Linked DNA regions of Notamacropus eugenii. The protein of the gene in region 1 purifies or fractionates together with the protein of each later gene. This does not show direct contact. Links are inferred from orthologs where the notes say so. Each region holds a gene or a part of one and is shown in the gene's direction. Other genes may lie near its edges. The genes, in order: KBTBD8 and PKN1.

What was found.
Region 2: the proteins of KBTBD8 (region 1) and PKN1 purify together in Homo sapiens (affinity purification with western blotting; 3 studies listed by BioGRID and IntAct, with this or other methods). This does not show direct contact. The link is inferred for Notamacropus eugenii from reciprocal best matches to the Homo sapiens genes KBTBD8 and PKN1.

Annotation. Positions count from the first base shown.
Region 1 is NC_092874.1:456,874,755-456,883,396, reverse strand, and holds the start of KBTBD8 (kelch repeat and BTB domain-containing protein 8), read left to right. Parts: upstream 1-5,142; 5' UTR 5,143-5,886; coding exon 5,887-5,901; intron 5,902-6,955; coding exon 6,956-6,989; intron 6,990-7,308; coding exon 7,309-7,522; intron 7,523-8,642. UniProt on the Homo sapiens protein: Substrate-specific adapter of a BCR (BTB-CUL3-RBX1) E3 ubiquitin ligase complex that acts as a regulator of neural crest specification.
Region 2 is NC_092875.1:76,500,124-76,508,551, reverse strand, and holds the start of PKN1 (serine/threonine-protein kinase N1), read left to right. Parts: upstream 1-5,117; 5' UTR 5,118-5,184; coding exon 5,185-5,223; intron 5,224-6,855; coding exon 6,856-7,177; intron 7,178-7,876; coding exon 7,877-8,013; intron 8,014-8,428. UniProt on the Homo sapiens protein: PKC-related serine/threonine-protein kinase involved in various processes such as regulation of the intermediate filaments of the actin cytoskeleton, cell migration, tumor cell invasion and transcription regulation.

The DNA of each region.
Region 1 (8,642 bases):
CAGGAGTCAGGGACTGCTGATAATTGTGAAAAAAAGCTGACGCTTTTTCTAGATGTGGAAACAGAGAATACAAGGGGCCATAGCTTCATCTTTCAAATATGCTTCTTTAATAAGCTATCTGTCCTTCATTCTGGCTAGCTTTTAAATATAAAAGCTGCATCCCACCCTGGTTTTCCACAACTGTGTGATGATCTTCATAGATTTTAACCATTAAGTTTTATAGTAATAAATAAAGTATTAAAACTTTGCCTAATTTGAACATATATACATACATTTCTGTCTGCATTTGTCTGTCTATCTATCTATCTATCTATCTATCTATCTATCTATCTATCTATCTATCTATCTATCTATCTATTTATCCATCCATCCATCCGTCTATCTGTCTTTTACCTGCCCTCTTATTATGTAGGGAAAAAAAACAGTGAAAGGATATCATTGGAGAACAATCAATGGCAAAACAGACAGGCTGGTCAAGAAGTACAACTTGGGGTAATTAATGGTTGTCCAAATACTCCATTGGTATTCAAGGTCAAGAGATCAAGAGGAAAGCTCTAAGTACATTGGACAGATCCCTATTTGTGATATCAGGAGCACATGGCAAGAGCCACAGATTCACAAAACCGTAGCATTTTAGGAATTGAACTAGACGGGTAGGTCCAGAGGTGTCGTGATCTACGTTATTGGAATCTACTTATTGATAGCTTTGTTAGGATGGTTGGATCAAATATGATTCCTCTGTTCGGAATTTAAAGCCATTCACAAACTGGCTTCAGCTGATGTTTTCTGAATTGTTATTCATTACTTCCCTTCATATACCCCATGGATTGGTCACAATAGCCTTTCTACTGTTCCTTCTGTATTGTGTTCTGTCTCTTGTCTCCTTGCCTTTGCATTGATTATCCTTTATGACCAGAATACATTTCTTCCTTCTCTCCACATGCAGACCCCCTAGTTTCCTTAAGAACTCAGCTCTACCATGACCTATCTTTTACACAGGGTCATAAGACCACAGACCTAAAGCTGAAAGAGACCTCAGAATACAATTAATGTACCCCTCTCATTTTACAGATGAGGTTAGGAGAATTTTCCCATGGCCACAGATAAGCATCAGTGGCACCATTTGAACGCAGGTCCTCTCAGAACCTTTGCTATTCTCCCTTCCCCCAGGGCTTAGTGCTGTACCCTCCCCCAAGGGAAAAAAAAATCCCTTTTATTTATATTTCTATATTGAACAGGGACCATCCCATAGATGACATACCAGAACTCCCCTGTCAACTTCCTAAGGCAGCTGTGGTTCAGTGCTGAATTGGAGTTCTTGGAGGTGATGAAACAAGCCCCTTATTGGTCACTGATCAGAAGAACCTCTGATTTAGGGTACCTTAAAAAGAGTGTGGCTCCATCCTCTGTCTCAAGTCATGCTCCTTTGAGCCTCTCATTAGAGTAGTGAATGAGGCGACTGGTGCCCTTTTGCTCTCCCTGTACCACAATGAGTATGAACCCATGTCATTTGGAGTTCATGTCCTGCTCAGGTAAGCTTGAGCCTGGGATTCAGGCTTCCTTGACTGAGAAGTGATTTGGAAATTGCAATTTGCGATCTCAGAAGTCTTTTGTGAATTCAAGAGATCTGGATACCCTGTATCCTCAGTTGGAGACTTCCCTTCCAGAGGAGTCCCTATAACTTATTCAGCACTTCTTGGAGGAGATGACCACAAGCCAGACAACATGGATGTGGGAGGATCTATTTAGATCAATGATGTCAAATTCAAATAGAATGGGATCCCTGGGGCTGTATATTGTCTTAGAAAGCCACAAATTCATATTCTCTATGTATTGTATTTTTGTTTATTTTGTTAAACATTTCCCAGTTGCATTTTATTATGGTTTGGGTTGCACTTGAGAGGTTTTACAAGCCCTTGGAGTGAAACCTCTAGTTTAACACCTCTAATTTAGATAATTCAGAGCCAAGGTACAATGTGAAATGCTTGACAATCTTTCCAAATATTTTATATTTGGATGGTTTTAAGTCTCAGATTCCTGAGGAGAATATAACAACAGTTACAAGTTGTTAAGCTAGTCACTATATCAATTATTTTTCTGAATCTGCATCACTCAGTTCATTCAATTCTTCCCAGGTTTCTCTGAATTTCTCCCTTTCATCATTTATGTTGTTGAGCTACTTTTCAGTTACATCTGAGTCTTTGTAACCTTAATTGAGGTTTTCTTGGCAAAAATGCTGCAATTTCCTTCTCTAGGTCATTTGACAGATGAAGAAACTGAGGCAAACAGGGTTAAGTGACTTGTCCAGGATCACACAACTAGTAAGTGTCTGAGGCCACATTTGAACTCAGGAAAGTGTCCTCCTGACTAGGGATCTGGCACCCTATCCACTGCTCCACCTCGTTGCCTCTACCATTTCTTATAGTGCAATAATATTCCATTATATTAATACTGCCTGGTTGATGAAAACTCCTTAGTTTTTCATGTCCTTAGAATAAATAGTGCTATGAATATTTTTGTATATATGGGTCTTTTCCAGTCAAAAGGACTGCACAATTTAGTGATTTTTGTGCTTCCTAGAACAACCGAACCAATTCACTGCTTTACTTGTGGAATGGTGTGCCTGTCTGCCCATACCCCTTCCAACAATTGTAATTTTTCATTTTGGTCATCTTTGCCAAACTGAGATACATGAGGCAGAACCTCTGAGATGTTTTAACGTACATTTCTCTTATTATTAGTGATTTGGAACATTTTTTCATAGGCCTGTGTCTTTTCTCTTGACTGTGCACTTCTGCACCTCCTGCCTTCCCTGACTTTCTTTATGTCTCAGCTCAAATCCCACCTTCTATAAGAAGCCTATCCTGGTCCTCCTTAATACTATTACCTTCCCTCTATTGGTTATCTCTAATATATCCTCTGTATATCTTGTTTGTATACAGTTATTGTATGTTGTCTCTTCCATTAGATGGTAAACTCTTTGAGTTCAGGGACTGTTTTTGCCTTTCTTGTACTCCAGTGCCTAGGCACATAGTGAACACTTAATAAGTACTTCTTGATTCAACTTGCTAATTAAGTCTTTGTTAGTATGCATTTGTGAGTCTCTTATATATTAAGCATTTCTTTTGTGTGGAGGAAATAGCTATCCTATACCTGATTTACACTGTACAGAGTAGCTTTCTATTCCTCTCTATTTTGAGGAGACTTAAAAGTCAAATGTGAACTTTAAGTGATTCCTCCACCCCTCCCCACCCCCCTCCTGGCCCTAGGCTTCAGGGTTGAGGGTAGTAATATAAAGACCCTTCTCTAAAGGATACAGTCTGCTTGGGACTGAACCCATTTCATGTGCATGAATCCAGAGCTAGGGGACTCTTTGTGGAGATTGAGAAGGCATGAAGATCCCCGATTCTTTGAAGATTAAAGAAGACATCAATGCTTGCTGACCATCTGACTAGCTATAAAGGGGTTGTGACCTTCTTTAGCAGAAAAGCTGTTTCATCAATGAAATTACAAATCCTTGATGTATTGGCATATCCATGCCTTTACATACATAAATACATACATATACACCTCTTATAGGATCATAGAACTAGAAGGGACCTGAGACCATGTAGTTATTTTACAGACAAGGAAACTGAGGCTGAGAGCAATTAAATTACCAGCCCAAGGCCACACAGGTAGTCTCATTCAAGTCAACAAGCATTTATCAACAAGCCCTTACTATGTGCTGGTGGCTTATCAGAGGTGGTGTTTGAACCTATACCCTCTGACTTCAGTCACTGATTTCCATGATACCATGTCCCTTCTGAATTTGCTTGGGTTTCCCAATTTTTGAATTTCCTCTGGCTTCCTTCTAAAATGTAAATTTTTTGGGAAAGTACTTTAGTGGTCAGTACTTTATAACTATTTAGTTAATTAAGATGAAACCTGGTTGACTTTTACTGCTTGCCTTTACAGCTCATTGGCTGGAACTGCCTCAAACCAAAGCTGGCTGTCTAGTGCTATTTAGTGTCCACAATGGAACAGGACCTTCTTTGTATCCTTAAAGGTCACAGAGAACAGTTGTTTGTTGGTTAGATTTTATTATCCTCTTATCTATTTTTGATTTAAAAACTATATAATTCTAACAACGAGTAATATATGATCTTTGATCTCATCAGAATTTAGCCCTATTAAGAGTGTCATAGTCATTAGCAAAGCAGTAATATTATGTCCTGTTCTTTTTTATACTTACTTTAGGTTTGCTTTTACAAGCCCTAGTACCTCCCCACCCCCCAACCCGCATCACTAGGGGAACAGAGAACACAGAGTCTTTTCTGAAATTAATTGATGAATATCACCCAAGTCCTTTAGCTAATAAGTAGGAAGTGCAAGACTCACATTTAGTTTTAGACCTGACTCCAAAGAAGTTAAAAATAGAATGAATGAAATTAGACTTTTCCATTCATTTTCCTTAATATAATAATTTTGATTGGGAACCCATGGATACTTGGGAAATAGAGAATGACAGTGTTATGTTCTCTAGGGGAATGAGTACTGGGACCTGGAGGTTTTGGAGACCTGGATGAGTCTGAATTTGACCTCAGACCCTCAGCAGCTGTGTGACCCTGTTAGCCTGTGCTTCCTCATCTTTAAAATTGAGCTGGAGAAGAAAATGGTAAATCACTCCAGTATCTTTTGCCATGAAAACCCCAAATGGGGTCATGAAGAGTCAGATGTGACTTAAAACGACTGAACAACAAAAAAGGACATAATAATACTTGTTCAGAGAGACCTTGTGGCGCAGTGGATAGAGAGCCAGACTCAGAATCATGATGACCTTTGTTCAGATTCAGCTTCTATGGCTATATGACCCTGGGAAAGTCACTCTGCCTCTGGAGGAAGTTAACACCTTAAGCCTTTGAGTTGCATAAATAGGTGTTGCTCTGCATGGATTTTTCTTTGGCAATGAACTGAATGTTAGGTTAAAAAAAATCAACAAAAACTTGTTCCCTACCTCACAGAGCTGTCGGGAGGAGAGCACTATATAAATGTGACTTGTTAAGTTTATGAAAGTCTTAAAAATAGATTTGCTAGGAGCAATAGTTAGATAAATCAGGGCCATGGACCTAGAAAGAGCTAAGTAAATACTCAGTAATGATAAATTGTATTTTATAATGCTGAGTAACAAAGCAAAGAAACATAATACAGATTTAAAGTGTAACACTATCTACATAGAACACATTTTATATATTATGTATCTTTATTCCACTTGCCAAGCACAAAAAGTATCTTACTGCTCGGTACATGGGATAACTGTAACAAGAGTTGACATTTATATACATTTTTAAATGCGCAAAACTCTTGACATGTATCATCTCACTTGAATCTCACAAGCCAGCCTGCGAGGGAGGTACTGTCAGTACGAACTTCACTTTACGGACGAGGGAACTAAGGAACAGAGAGGCTGTGACTTTCCAGTGTTCACAGCGTATCAGAAGCAAAATCGGAATCCAAGTCAAATGTATCTTCTCCGATCGGAGAGCCAGGAGCCTGGGCTCCGCATAAAAGCCTGCCTCAAGCTCCCAACGATTTGTGAAGGAAGGTCAGCTACATGCACGACTGCAGCAGTATCCGTGAAATGCTAAAAGCGCCCTCCAGCACGTTGGGTGTCGTTCCTTGGGAGGCAGTAGGGGAGGGCAAAGGCAGAAGCCGAACAGGCTGGGCAGGGCTGGACCAGTCGCGACTGGCATTCCTCCATAAGAGGACAGATCTAGGGAAATATCGCAGCCATGAATCTAAGAGGAGGGGGCGGCTGGCCTCAGTCCAGGGTCCCTCTCGTTCACAAACTCTCCCCTAGCCCCGGACAGGCTGCCTGGGGAGCCAAGGCAAGCCTCAGGACGGCTAATGAAAGGATCGCAGGTAAACATCCAGGAAGGAAGGGGCTCCTCCCAAGTTCCCGTGGGACATATTTAATTCCTTCATGTTTATTTTTAGGGGCTCTAAACAGGAGGGGGAGGTTTGTCTCCATCTACGGGGCTCAGCTTTGATGGCTCGGAACTTAGGCCGGTGCCAGGCGGTTTCACTTGGTGGCACAGATGGCACGTCGGATCACTCTCTCTGGGGCGGGCGGGGGGAGGGGCAGGTGACCCCGGGCTCCAGTTGGAGGTGTCTCGGGGAGGCTGGGCCCCCTCGCATCGGCGGCCGCGGGTAGGAGGGGCGGTGACTCAGGGAAGGAAGTCCCGTCCGGCTGCCAGGCAGGCCTGGGGCCAGTCCTGCGTCGGACGCCCCCGGGGGAAGTCGCGAGGCCCGACTTCAGCTCGGCCTCGGTTTCCTCTTGGGGAAGGCGGGGTAACCGTGAGCCGACAAGGGGGAAGTCCCCCGAAGCCTCCCCCGCCTTGGGGGCCCCTCCGCGGAAGGGCCGGCCGGAGCGCGGCGCCTTGCCCACGGCGGCTGCGCCCACGTCCTCCCGCGCCGCGGCCCTCAGGGCGCTCCCACTTTGGCCCCACCCCATCCCCAACGCAGACCGCGAGGTCCCGGCCTAGGCCTCAGTTTCCTCGCCCGTCCAGCGGGTGACACCTGCGGTGCCCAGCCCCTGGGAAGCGGGGGGGATCCGAGGGGACCGCGCGGATCCCAATGCGTGGAGCTCTGGTGTGAGCCAGGAGTATGGAGTGCGTCCTAACCCGAGGACGACTCGGCCCACCCCCTGACAGGCCCCATGCCCACGCCGCAGTCCGGCCTCCGCCGGTACTGCCTCCGCCTCCCAGCGACCACGCGGGGTTGAGCTGAACCGGACTACATTTCCCGACACGCACCTCGGCGGCCTGCGACCAATCGGTACCCGAGGCGCTGGGCTCGGGGGCGGGGCCTGGGCTCCGAGGCCTCCCATTGGCTTCGAAGCTCGCTGACGAGCCGGAACCGGGGGGAGCAGGGGAAACGAAATGACATTTTCTCTCTTCTCCTCACTCCGCTCGAGCCGGGGCCCCTCCGAGACATGGCCGCGACGGGAGGTAGGTGCTGCCTCGGGGTGGGGGGAGCGGCCGGGGCGGCGGTTGGGCGGTCCGGGGCGGGCTTGGCGGAGGGCACGGGCCTCCCCTTTTCCCTCCCTCCCTCCCCCGCGACTCCCGTGGGCCCCGACGGCCGCCGAAGCCCGTCCGGTCGCCCGCGGGGGCCCCGCGCGTCCGCGTCGCGTCCTCCCCCCGCCCCGCCCCCCGCCCCCCGCCGCGCGCGTCCGTGGCCCGTCGGGGCCGCGCCCCGGGGCGCGCGTGGGCCCGGCCCAGCCTCGGGCGCGCGCGGAACCCGGGGCTTGTGGCGCTCTCTCTCCCGCAGATGCCAGTAAGTGTCCGCCGCCGAACGGCGCCCCGCCCGCGCCCCCCGTGGCCGGCCCGGGGCCCGTGGACGCCGCCCACGCGTGCAGCATCCTGCAGCAGCTCAAGACCATGTACGACGAGGGCCAGCTGACCGACATCGTCGTGGAGGTGGACCACGGCAAGACCTTCTCGTGCCACCGCAACGTGCTGGCGGCCATCAGCCCCTACTTCAGGTAGCCGCGCCCGCTGCCTCAGTTTACCCCCGGGAGCGCCTGTACGAAGCGCCTGCTGCGTGGCGCGCCGGGTTCTGGGGCGCGGGGGAGAGTGGAGGCCGGCGGGTGTGTGGGGGGAGACGAGGGGACGTGTGTGGGAGCGGGCCGTGGCTGAGGGGGCCCCTCTGGCGTCCGCCGCCCGGCACGGTGGGCGGCCGGAGCTCTCGGAGCGTGACTGTGTGAGACGGGGCTCCCCGGCACACGCGGGCCCCCCTGGCCCCAGACCCGCCCCCTTTCTAAAAAGGGGGAGAAAGGCGATCTTGGAAGAGGCTTCCGAGTCCTCGCTGCTCGTGGGGCTCAGAGGTGCTCACCGCCTGGTCAGTGCCAATACAGATCGGTCCGCAGACTCTCTTTAAAAACTTTTTTGGAGCATTTTCTGAAACTGGCAATAATATTTCAAAGAATTTAGAGTTTTGGTTGAAGGAGATTTTTTTAACTCAGAAGAAACGTCAGACTCTGAGAGAGTTCCTGGTTTTTTATTTAATTTGTTTTAGGGACACACTTTTATGTTGATTTTTTTAAAGAAGTGACCCTCTTACTAATCTAGCCGGAGGGAGAAACCTGTGTCCTTCTAGGTCCTCAGGTGAGGCCTGTTGAAGGAGTCCAAGTTTTACAGAACAAATCCTTTTTTAAGGGGATTTGTTCTGTGAAGTTTGGATTCGAAGGATCATACTTGAGGACATAGAGGACCACGTGTGATCTCAAGGCCGCAGGTTCCCCACCCCTAATTTAGAGGTTCCTATTTTTGTGAGGGGCAAGTTTGTATTTTTCTCTTAAAATGCAATCTTTCTCACTACCCTGTGACAGAATAGCTCAAGATTGGATAGACAGGCATATATACCAGCAACTGGTAAGCTGACTTACCAGCAACTATAAGATGGAATCACAGAACAGGATAGAGTTTGCAGGTGGAAAGGATCCTAGGATTATAGACCTGAACCTCAGACTAGCCCTACTATGCAACTGACACTAGTAGGCATTTAATGCTTGTTGATTGTCCTCAGAGGGCTCTCTAGCTTATTTTACAGATAAATGAGACTGAGGCACAGGGAGTGGAACTGCTTGGCATGGTCACACCAGG
Region 2 (8,428 bases), on another chromosome or scaffold:
TCTGGAGGGAGCACCCCTCGGCCAAGCTGATGGCAGGGCCCCCGTGTGGAGGAGCCAGCCGCATCTGGTGCTGCCGATCGCACAAGGTTAGACACCAACCCACTGTTGATGAGGTGGGCAGGGGACTGGGGGGGAGGGACATAGAGGTCTCTGGGAGAAGGAACATGCTGGGGGGCATATAAATTACCTCCTGCTCCTCCTTTCCGAAAGAGAAGGGAGAGCTAAGCCTGAAGAAGGAGGAAACTATTGGAAAAAGATCACTAGATGCCTGGATCTTCAGCATCATAAGAGGAAAGGGGATAACTGATTTTCTCTGTGTCTCAGTTTCCCCACCGTGGAACACCTTTCCCCAGGAGTCCAGTGGTCCTGTCTGTGATCACTGAGCATCAGTCCTTTTGGGTCCTGAGGAGGACCTCAAACGAATAGAGCTGGGTCTGCCCTACACAGAAATATACCTCCTCATACTGCCAAACCCTAGACCCCACCCCCCACCCCCAATCATAGCAAGCTGTCTGGAAAGGGTAAGGGGTAACCTTAGTTCCCTGACAAATTTGGTTCAATGCTGTGTGAACTTGGGCCCTCTCATTGCCAAGTTAAAGGGAGCATAGTTTCCTCATCTGTAAACAAGGGTGACATCTGTGTTCTGCCTCAGTTTCCCATCCTGAATAGAGTCTTATTTAAAAAGTTAAGAGCTGGGAAGATTCTTGCCCCTTCTAGCTCTGAGACTATGCTTGCAGATTGGATTTGGGGTCCATTGTTAAGTCCCTCTCTTTCCTCCTGCATTTTCTCTGGGAAGAGACTCTGAGGCAGCCCCAGGCCAGTCTCTAAAGTAGAAAGGCTAGTGCCTGGATCTAGATCTGTACCCTGAGGCAAAGTCCTGACCCCCAAGGACACTAAGAAGAGGAAGATTCTAGACACCACACCAGATCGCTAAGAGAGGCAGTCAGAAGCACGGTTCTAGTCCCAATTTTGTCCCTAACTTTCCATGCTACCTCATGTAAATGACTCAGCCTCCACTGACCTAATTTTGCCCATCTATAAAATAAGGCAATTGAATTAGATAGTCTCTAAATTCCCCTTCTCTTCTGATGATAATAATAATAATATCAGCTTATATTTATGTAACATTTATGGATTGCAAAGTGCTTTCTCAGTTGTTAAAATTTATATAAATGTTATTGTTACAAAGTGCTTAACATACATTATCTCATGTAATCCTCACAAGTATGGTTATCTCCATTTTACAAAGGAGGAAACTGAACCTGAGAGTTTGTGGCTTAACTGTATTTCATATTTGTATAACACTTTATCACTTACTCCCTCTGAGAGACAGAAAATAGCCTGGGATATGGAATCAGAGGGTTCAGATCCCAGCTCTCCCACCTATCTGACACTTCTCTCTGGGCCTGTTTCTTCCTCCGAAAATGAAAGGACTGAACTAGATGGTCTCTAAGAGCCCTATTAGCCCTAAATCCTATTATCAATAGTATAGGAATATCCTTATTTTACGGTCGAGGAAACTGAGGCTGAGAGGGACTAGCTAAATGATTTGCCCAGAGTAGGAAGTGACAAAAGTAGGACAGGAATCTCAGTGTCCTGACTATAGATGCTGTGTTCTTCCCATTATACCATAGCTGCCCTCAGGGACTATGAGTCTACTCTCAGGTGGTGCTGAAGTGGGGCTTGGGGTAAGAAAGGAGAGAATCTATGCCCAGCCCTTCTGTCCCAGAACAGATGGTAGAGGGTGGCTTCCCAACTCCCCCTATTCCTCTTTCAACTGTTTTTATCCCCACCCTTATGATGGGACTAGGGCAACTGGGGAAAGCCGCAGGGTTCCCCTGTTTTCTCTTCCCCCAACCCCCATTCTAGGATAAAAACAAAGGATGCCTGGAGCTTCACCCCATGTCAGACTTCGGAAAGTGTGTGGGCTAGAGAAGGGAGCCTGGAGTCAGGACTCCTGGGTCCACAATGGGGGAAGGTGGGGCCTAGATCTGTGTATTCAGGATGCTTAGGTCTTTGGGAGAGGAAGGAGCCCCTCCTCCCCATGACTCACTACCACCAACACCAACACCCCCCCTCCCCCCCAGGGCCAAGGGGTTAATTAGCTGTCAAGGCCCTTGAGGGTAGGAGGAGAACCACAAGCATATCTGAGTGACCTGCTGCCCTATACTCACCCAGCTCAATCATCTCCTTCCTTCCCTCCCTATCTACTGGCTCTGAGTGGCCTCCCCAACCCCCATATTGCCTGTCCTGTCCCTCTGTCTGCCTGTCTCCATGCTAACACTTGTCTGTCTGTTTGTCTATACCATGTCCGGGTTCAGGATGTCCGGTTTCTGCTCAGGAAGCTTCAGAACCATTCAAAGTGCCAGACATCATTGGGGGTGGGGATGCCTGGGTCCTGGACTGATGTACAGGCTGGTAGGAGGAAGAAAGTACTGCTTGGATTCAGGGGCTGAGGATGGCTGCCACCTGGGGACCTTGCTGCAGGAAGTGGTGATTCCGAGAGATAGAACTGACCATCCCAGCTTGGCTACTTGCTGGCTGGGTGGCGTTGGGTTGGTCCAGCAGCTCTTAACCATTTTTGGGTCAGTCTTGGCAGGCTGGTGAGGCCTAGGGAGAATAATGTTTTTAACTGCATGAAATAAAATGCATACAACTACAGAGAAATCTACTTATATTGAAATACAGTAATAAAAATATATTTTTTAGAAAACACCAATAGTTCATGGGCACCAGGTTAAGAACCCCTGGGTTAGTCCCTTCTCTCTTGGCCTGTTTTCTCCACTGTCAAATGAGGAGGTTGGATTAGATGGTCTCTAAGGGTCTTTCTAGCTCTAAGTCCTATCCTGAATCCAGCCACAATTTTGGCCTAGAGGAAGGGGAAAGTTTCCCCCTGACCCCAACTGAACCCAGGGCAGCTGCAGAGCTAGGCCCCAAGGCCCCAAAGGCTGAGCATCCCAGCCAGGGAGTGAGTAGGGATTGGGGCAGGCCCAGTGGCCTCTCCCCGCCCCACATTCCTGGGTGACTGAGGTCACCAGGTTCCAGCCCTGCTGCTTATACAGCTGAGTTCAGCTGGCCCTAGAAAGGAGGACTGAGGGAGTCTGATCAGTGACAGAAGGCAGGCACTGTGAGAAGAGGAGGAGACTAAGAGAACTCAATGCCCCTTCCCATCCCTGTCCTCTCCAAGGGCCTCTCTGCCTCCCGCTGGAGTAGCAGGGTAATGAAAAGAGCACTAAAATTAGAACCAAGAGGCCTGGGCTCAGGTCTTAGCTCTGTTACTACTATGATCTTGGACAAGTTACTTCTCCCTCTAAGTCCATTTCCTCATCTATAAAATCAGGCGTAAACTCGATAATCTTTAAGGTCCTCTCCAGCTTATTTCCTCCTTCCTCCTCATGATCCTGTTAGTGAGGGAGGAAGAAAGATAGTCTTCTCTCCCCTCATTCTTCCCTAATGAAGCTGGCTGGGTTAGGAGCCTGGACTCTTGGGTCCCAATATTAGCAGGACTTAGAAGTCCCGGGATTCACAAAGACTCTACCATCAACATTTGCTCTTTTTCTAAGTGACAGCTTGGAGAGATAGGCTGTGTATTTGGGAGACTAGAAGAAGAATCTTGATACAGTAGCTTTATAGTTTTGAGTTGTGAATCCTGCCTGTGATACTTATTATCCATGTGATCTCGGGCAAGTCACAACCTTTCTGGCCCTCAGTTTCCTCCCTCTGAGGCCCCTTCCTTCTATAGATCTGTGATCCTAAGGCCCAGGTCTAGCTCTTGAATTGGGGAATAGTACTGAGGTTGCTCATTTAAGGCATGGGCCTCAGTGCCTGGGGTATTAAGGAGCAGGCTTAGAACAATGGAATGAGGATGAGGGGTAGAGTGGGGGGTGCTGCTCAGGCTGGGGGTGTGTGTGGCCTGAATAGGCCCTTTGTGGGGCCTGGCCCAGCTGGCCCCAGCCCTGGGGGATTGGGTGACTGGCAGCTGGGAGAGGAAGAAGGTCACATTGCAGGCTAGGAGGTGTGGCTCCTGGGTTCCATGCTGGGTGGAGGAGGGAAGGGACCCCAATCACAATGGAGGGAACCATTTTCTCCTCTCTCCCCCCACCCCAATTCTGCCCTCCTTTGGAAGGTGACCTGAACTCAGAGTCACCCCATTAGATGTGGAGTTCAGAGGAACCCAACCTCCAGCCTTAGGACTCACAGAGCTAGACTAATTATGGAGTGGTCTTGGGAGAGAGAGAAGACCAGTTTTAGATTCAGAAAGGGCTGATTTGAATCCTACTTGGGTCCCTTACTAGCTGTGTTTGGAAAAGTCACTAAGTTCTCAGTGACAGAATGGAGGATACTGGGTTTTGATGATCTGTAAGGTGGCTTCTAGCTCTGGGTCCCAGGTTCCCTCCAGTAACTGACCCAGCTCATCACAAGGGCTGCTGGAAGTGGGCTGCAGCCTTGGAGGAAACAGGAAGTCTGCTTTGGGAGATGGGGAAGGACAGGTCTTAGGTATGGGGGTAGGGGAATGGGAAGAGAAGAGTCAGGATTCAGGGGAAAGGGGAGCAAGCCCTGTTCAAAAGTGGTATTATGCCAAAAAGAACATTGGTTTTAGAGTCAAAAAGAGATCATTTGAATTCTGTCTCCTCTTACTTGGTATATTTGGATATCACTTAACGAATTTATGCCTCAATTTACCCTTCTGTAAAATAAAGGAATTGGACTAGAGGATTTTTAGTCCGCCTGTAAATCATGTGATTCCTAAATCCCATGGACCAAGGTCAGCCTCTTTGTGCCTTTATAGAGACATGAGGACATATGGCCAAACGTGGAGACATGCAGTAGATGAAGAGGCCCACCAGGAGGCATCATCATACACACTACCCCAGCCCTGCCTGATGACCCAAGTCTGACCTAGAGCAGGAGGAAGTGGGGGGACCACCCTCACTCACCCTTTTACTTATTCTTCTTTTGGGGGACCCCAGATGTTGTAGCTGGAATCTAGCAGGTTGGTCCTCTCTGTGTCTGGCAGAGGGGTGCTCTTCCTCACCAGTGTTTCCCTGATTCTCTAGTCCCCTTTCCCCCTCCCCCAGGGGGGCCCACATAGAGAGGCCTGGGACTGGCAGGAAAGAGGAAGTAGCAGACACAGAGCTCTGGGCCCTGCCAGGAAGAGAGGGCGGAGCCGCCCTAGGACCCAGGATGGCGGAAGCTGAGCCCCCCTCGGACCTGGAGCTAGAGGTGGGGGACAGGGCCAGGGTTTGGGGGGACTTTGGAGCTTGGACAGTCAAGCCCTGGGGATAGGGACCATCTGTCTACCCTCTTCAGCTGTCTGTCTCCTCCCCCACTTCACTCCCTAGCTGCTATCAACCCAGGAAGGCCAGGGCCAATGACATAGCTTCCTTCTGGGGCCACTAGGTAGGGGTCTGGCTGGGCAGTCCAGTAGGAGTTGATGACAGGATGTGGGATACGGACCAACTGGCTATCTGCCATTCCCCTTCCCTGCCCCAGACAATTAAGGAATTTTTTTGGTCAGTGTCAGACTTGAGGGTTGGTCACAACAAGGATCCTGGGTGACCATGGGATACTCCTGGGCAGGAATTTGGATTTATTGGAATCACCTCTCCACCAGAATTCTGGGTCATCTGGAGTAATTCCCTCCAGGACTTTGCTGGCATTGCCACTTGAGCCAAAATTACTGAGGACCCTGACACCTCTTTTCTGTTGGAACCCCAGTTACACACAGCCTTTACCATTGGCCTGATTCTGACTTAATGCTTCTCTGAGCTTTGGGGAAAGAATATGTTCCAGGGGATTGGGATGGGGAGGGGGAGGAAGGCAGCCCTTTGCACCAAGTAGAAAAGGATTTGAGGTCAACGATCAAATCAGAGATGGGTCCTTGGGCCCCTCCATCCAAGAAGTCTGTACCCAGCACCTATGGTATATATGACCAGGACTTTGTAGGGCTATGTTGGCTGGGAGGCAGGGACTTGGCCTTATCCAGTCTGCAGGGGAGCTCAGACTCCCTATTCTCCGCCTCCCTCTCTTGAAAACTGTGAATCACTGTAGGGATGGGGTTCAGCTTAAAAGGGTCATAGGTCCCCAGAGGGTAAAGGGCTGGAGTAGTCAGTCATAGCTTTCTGGAGGCAATGGTATTTCACTTCTGAGGATAGAGAGAAAGGGAAGGAATTGCATCTGCCAAGGTAGGAAAGAGTCTAGCCTGTTCTGGGGTAGGAGAAGGGGAATTTGGGGGAGCACAGAGAAAAGTAGGAAGGGAGTATAAGGATTTGGGTTCAAGCCCTAGATCTGTAACTTACAATGTGACCTTGGGCAAATCACTTCCTTGCTATGGGCCTCACTTTCCCCCTGTGTAAAATGAAAGAAGGTTTGTCAAGGTCCTTTCTAGTTAATAATCTTTAGGTCTGTGAAGGTGGGGAACCCAGGTTCAGGAGCTTTAAAATGCTGAGGAAGCATAGCATTTAGAAATGGAAGGGACTTAAGAGTCATCTGGTCCAACCCCCTCATTTTATGGAGATGGTTGGGGTGGGGGTGGATGAAAACAGGCATGACTTGCTGGAGGTCACATAATAGCAGATATGGGATTCACAATCCAAGTATCTGATTTAAGCCCTTTTCCACTGTCTCTGCTTCTTCAGACGAAGGGATTTGATGGGGTGCTCCCCAAGCTGTCTCTTCCAGCTCTCAATCTTGTGATCCCATGAGGCTGGGCTTGCCATCAATGTAAGGCTGAGGAGGCTGAACATGGTCCCCCCCCCCCCCCCCAGTTAGGTGTTTCCTCCTGTCCCCTTGGGTTCTTTGGGATCCTGAGTCCCCAGCACGCTGAGCTATGGCCTTTCTCTGTCCTCTCCACAGAGCGAGCCCGGGAGCTGGTCAGTGTTGGAGCAGCTAGGCCTGGCAGGAGCAGACTTGGCAGCCCCAGGGGTACAGCAGCGACTGGAGCTGGAGGTGGAGCGGCTTCGGCGGGAGATCCGAAAGGAACTGAAGCTGAAAGAGGGGGCAGAAAACCTGCGGCGGGCAACCACAGACCTTGGCCGGAGCCTGGGGCCAGTGGAGCTGCTGCTTAGGGGCTCCACCCGCCGCCTGGACCTGCTGCACAGCCAGCTGCAGGAGCTCCATGGCCTGGTGGTGCTGCATGAACCCAGCCAGGCCCAGCCCCAGCTGGGCCAGGCCCAGGGTGAGCAAGGTGCTAAGGTCCCTGGGGAAGTGGCCTGAAAAGCTAAGAGACAGCAGAGACACTGGGCCCTGGGGGGAATCCTGCTGGGTGTGAGGAAGAGTCCAGGTTTGGGGCAATCTTAATGCCAGGGGCTCCAAGGAGAAAAGAAGACTAGGCTCTTGTTGGTCCAGGAGCCCTATAGAGATACCTATGTAACATCTCTGGATGATTATAAAATGGGAGAGGCCTACGGCCACTCCTCATCTCCTAAGGCTGTCCTTTGAGCTGAGGGGTAAGAAACCTAGGTCTAGTCTCTAAACTCTTGTCTCTACCAGGAAATACTGGTAGTTTTTTTTTGGGGGGGGCGGGGGGAGGCATAGACAGGTCAGGATTCCAGACCTCCAGCTTCCCAGCCCCCAGCTTGTCTTTCTGGCTTAAAGTGGAAACCACACCAGCAGCTCCCCTTACCTCAGCTCCCCATGAAATATTCAGACTTCAGGCAGGCAGAGCAGAAGCAAAGCACCTAGCTGCTGGGCAGTGGGACATTAGGGTTCCCAGTTTAGCCACTTACTTTTCAGGGAGAGAAATCTCTAGCACCCCAGGAAGAAAGAGGGAAGCTTGGACTGCTGTATCCCAGGATCAATCAGTCCCACCCAGGGAATTCCTGGCTAGGTACTGGGCAGAAGTGACTCTGACTTCTCCCCTCTCTGTGCTTCCCAGATGGTCCTCAATCCCCCAACTGCTCGGCCACCAGTCTGAGTCTGGTGGCGGGCTTGGAGAAGCAGCTGACCATCGAGCTCAAGGTCAAGCAAGGGGCAGAAAACATGATCCACACCTACAGCAATGGCAACACCAAGGTGAGCTCACAGTGGAGGCTGGGGCTGGGAAGGAGCACATTTCCCTAAGCTCTTCTGCTAAAGACTGGGGGGACAGGGAAGGAAGGGCTAGGAGAACCTTAGCTTGACCAAGATTTGGCTAATGCATCTGTTCTAGAGTGAAAGGAGCCCCAGACTCAGTCAGAGGACCTGAGATAGAACCTTGTACCTACAGTTCACTGTAACCTTGGGCAGAAAAATCCCTTTCCCTTTCTGGGCCTCAGTTTCCTATCTTTGAGGTGATGATCTCATGCCTTTCAGCTCTACCATTTCATGATTCTAAGTTAGAGGCAGTCTGTAGAGCTCTGTTGAAGATTGATGGCAAGTCACACTGACCCACTGGCCATCCCCTATTCCTATCCTTCCTCCCTTCATCTCCAGGGTCCTGGAATTTAGA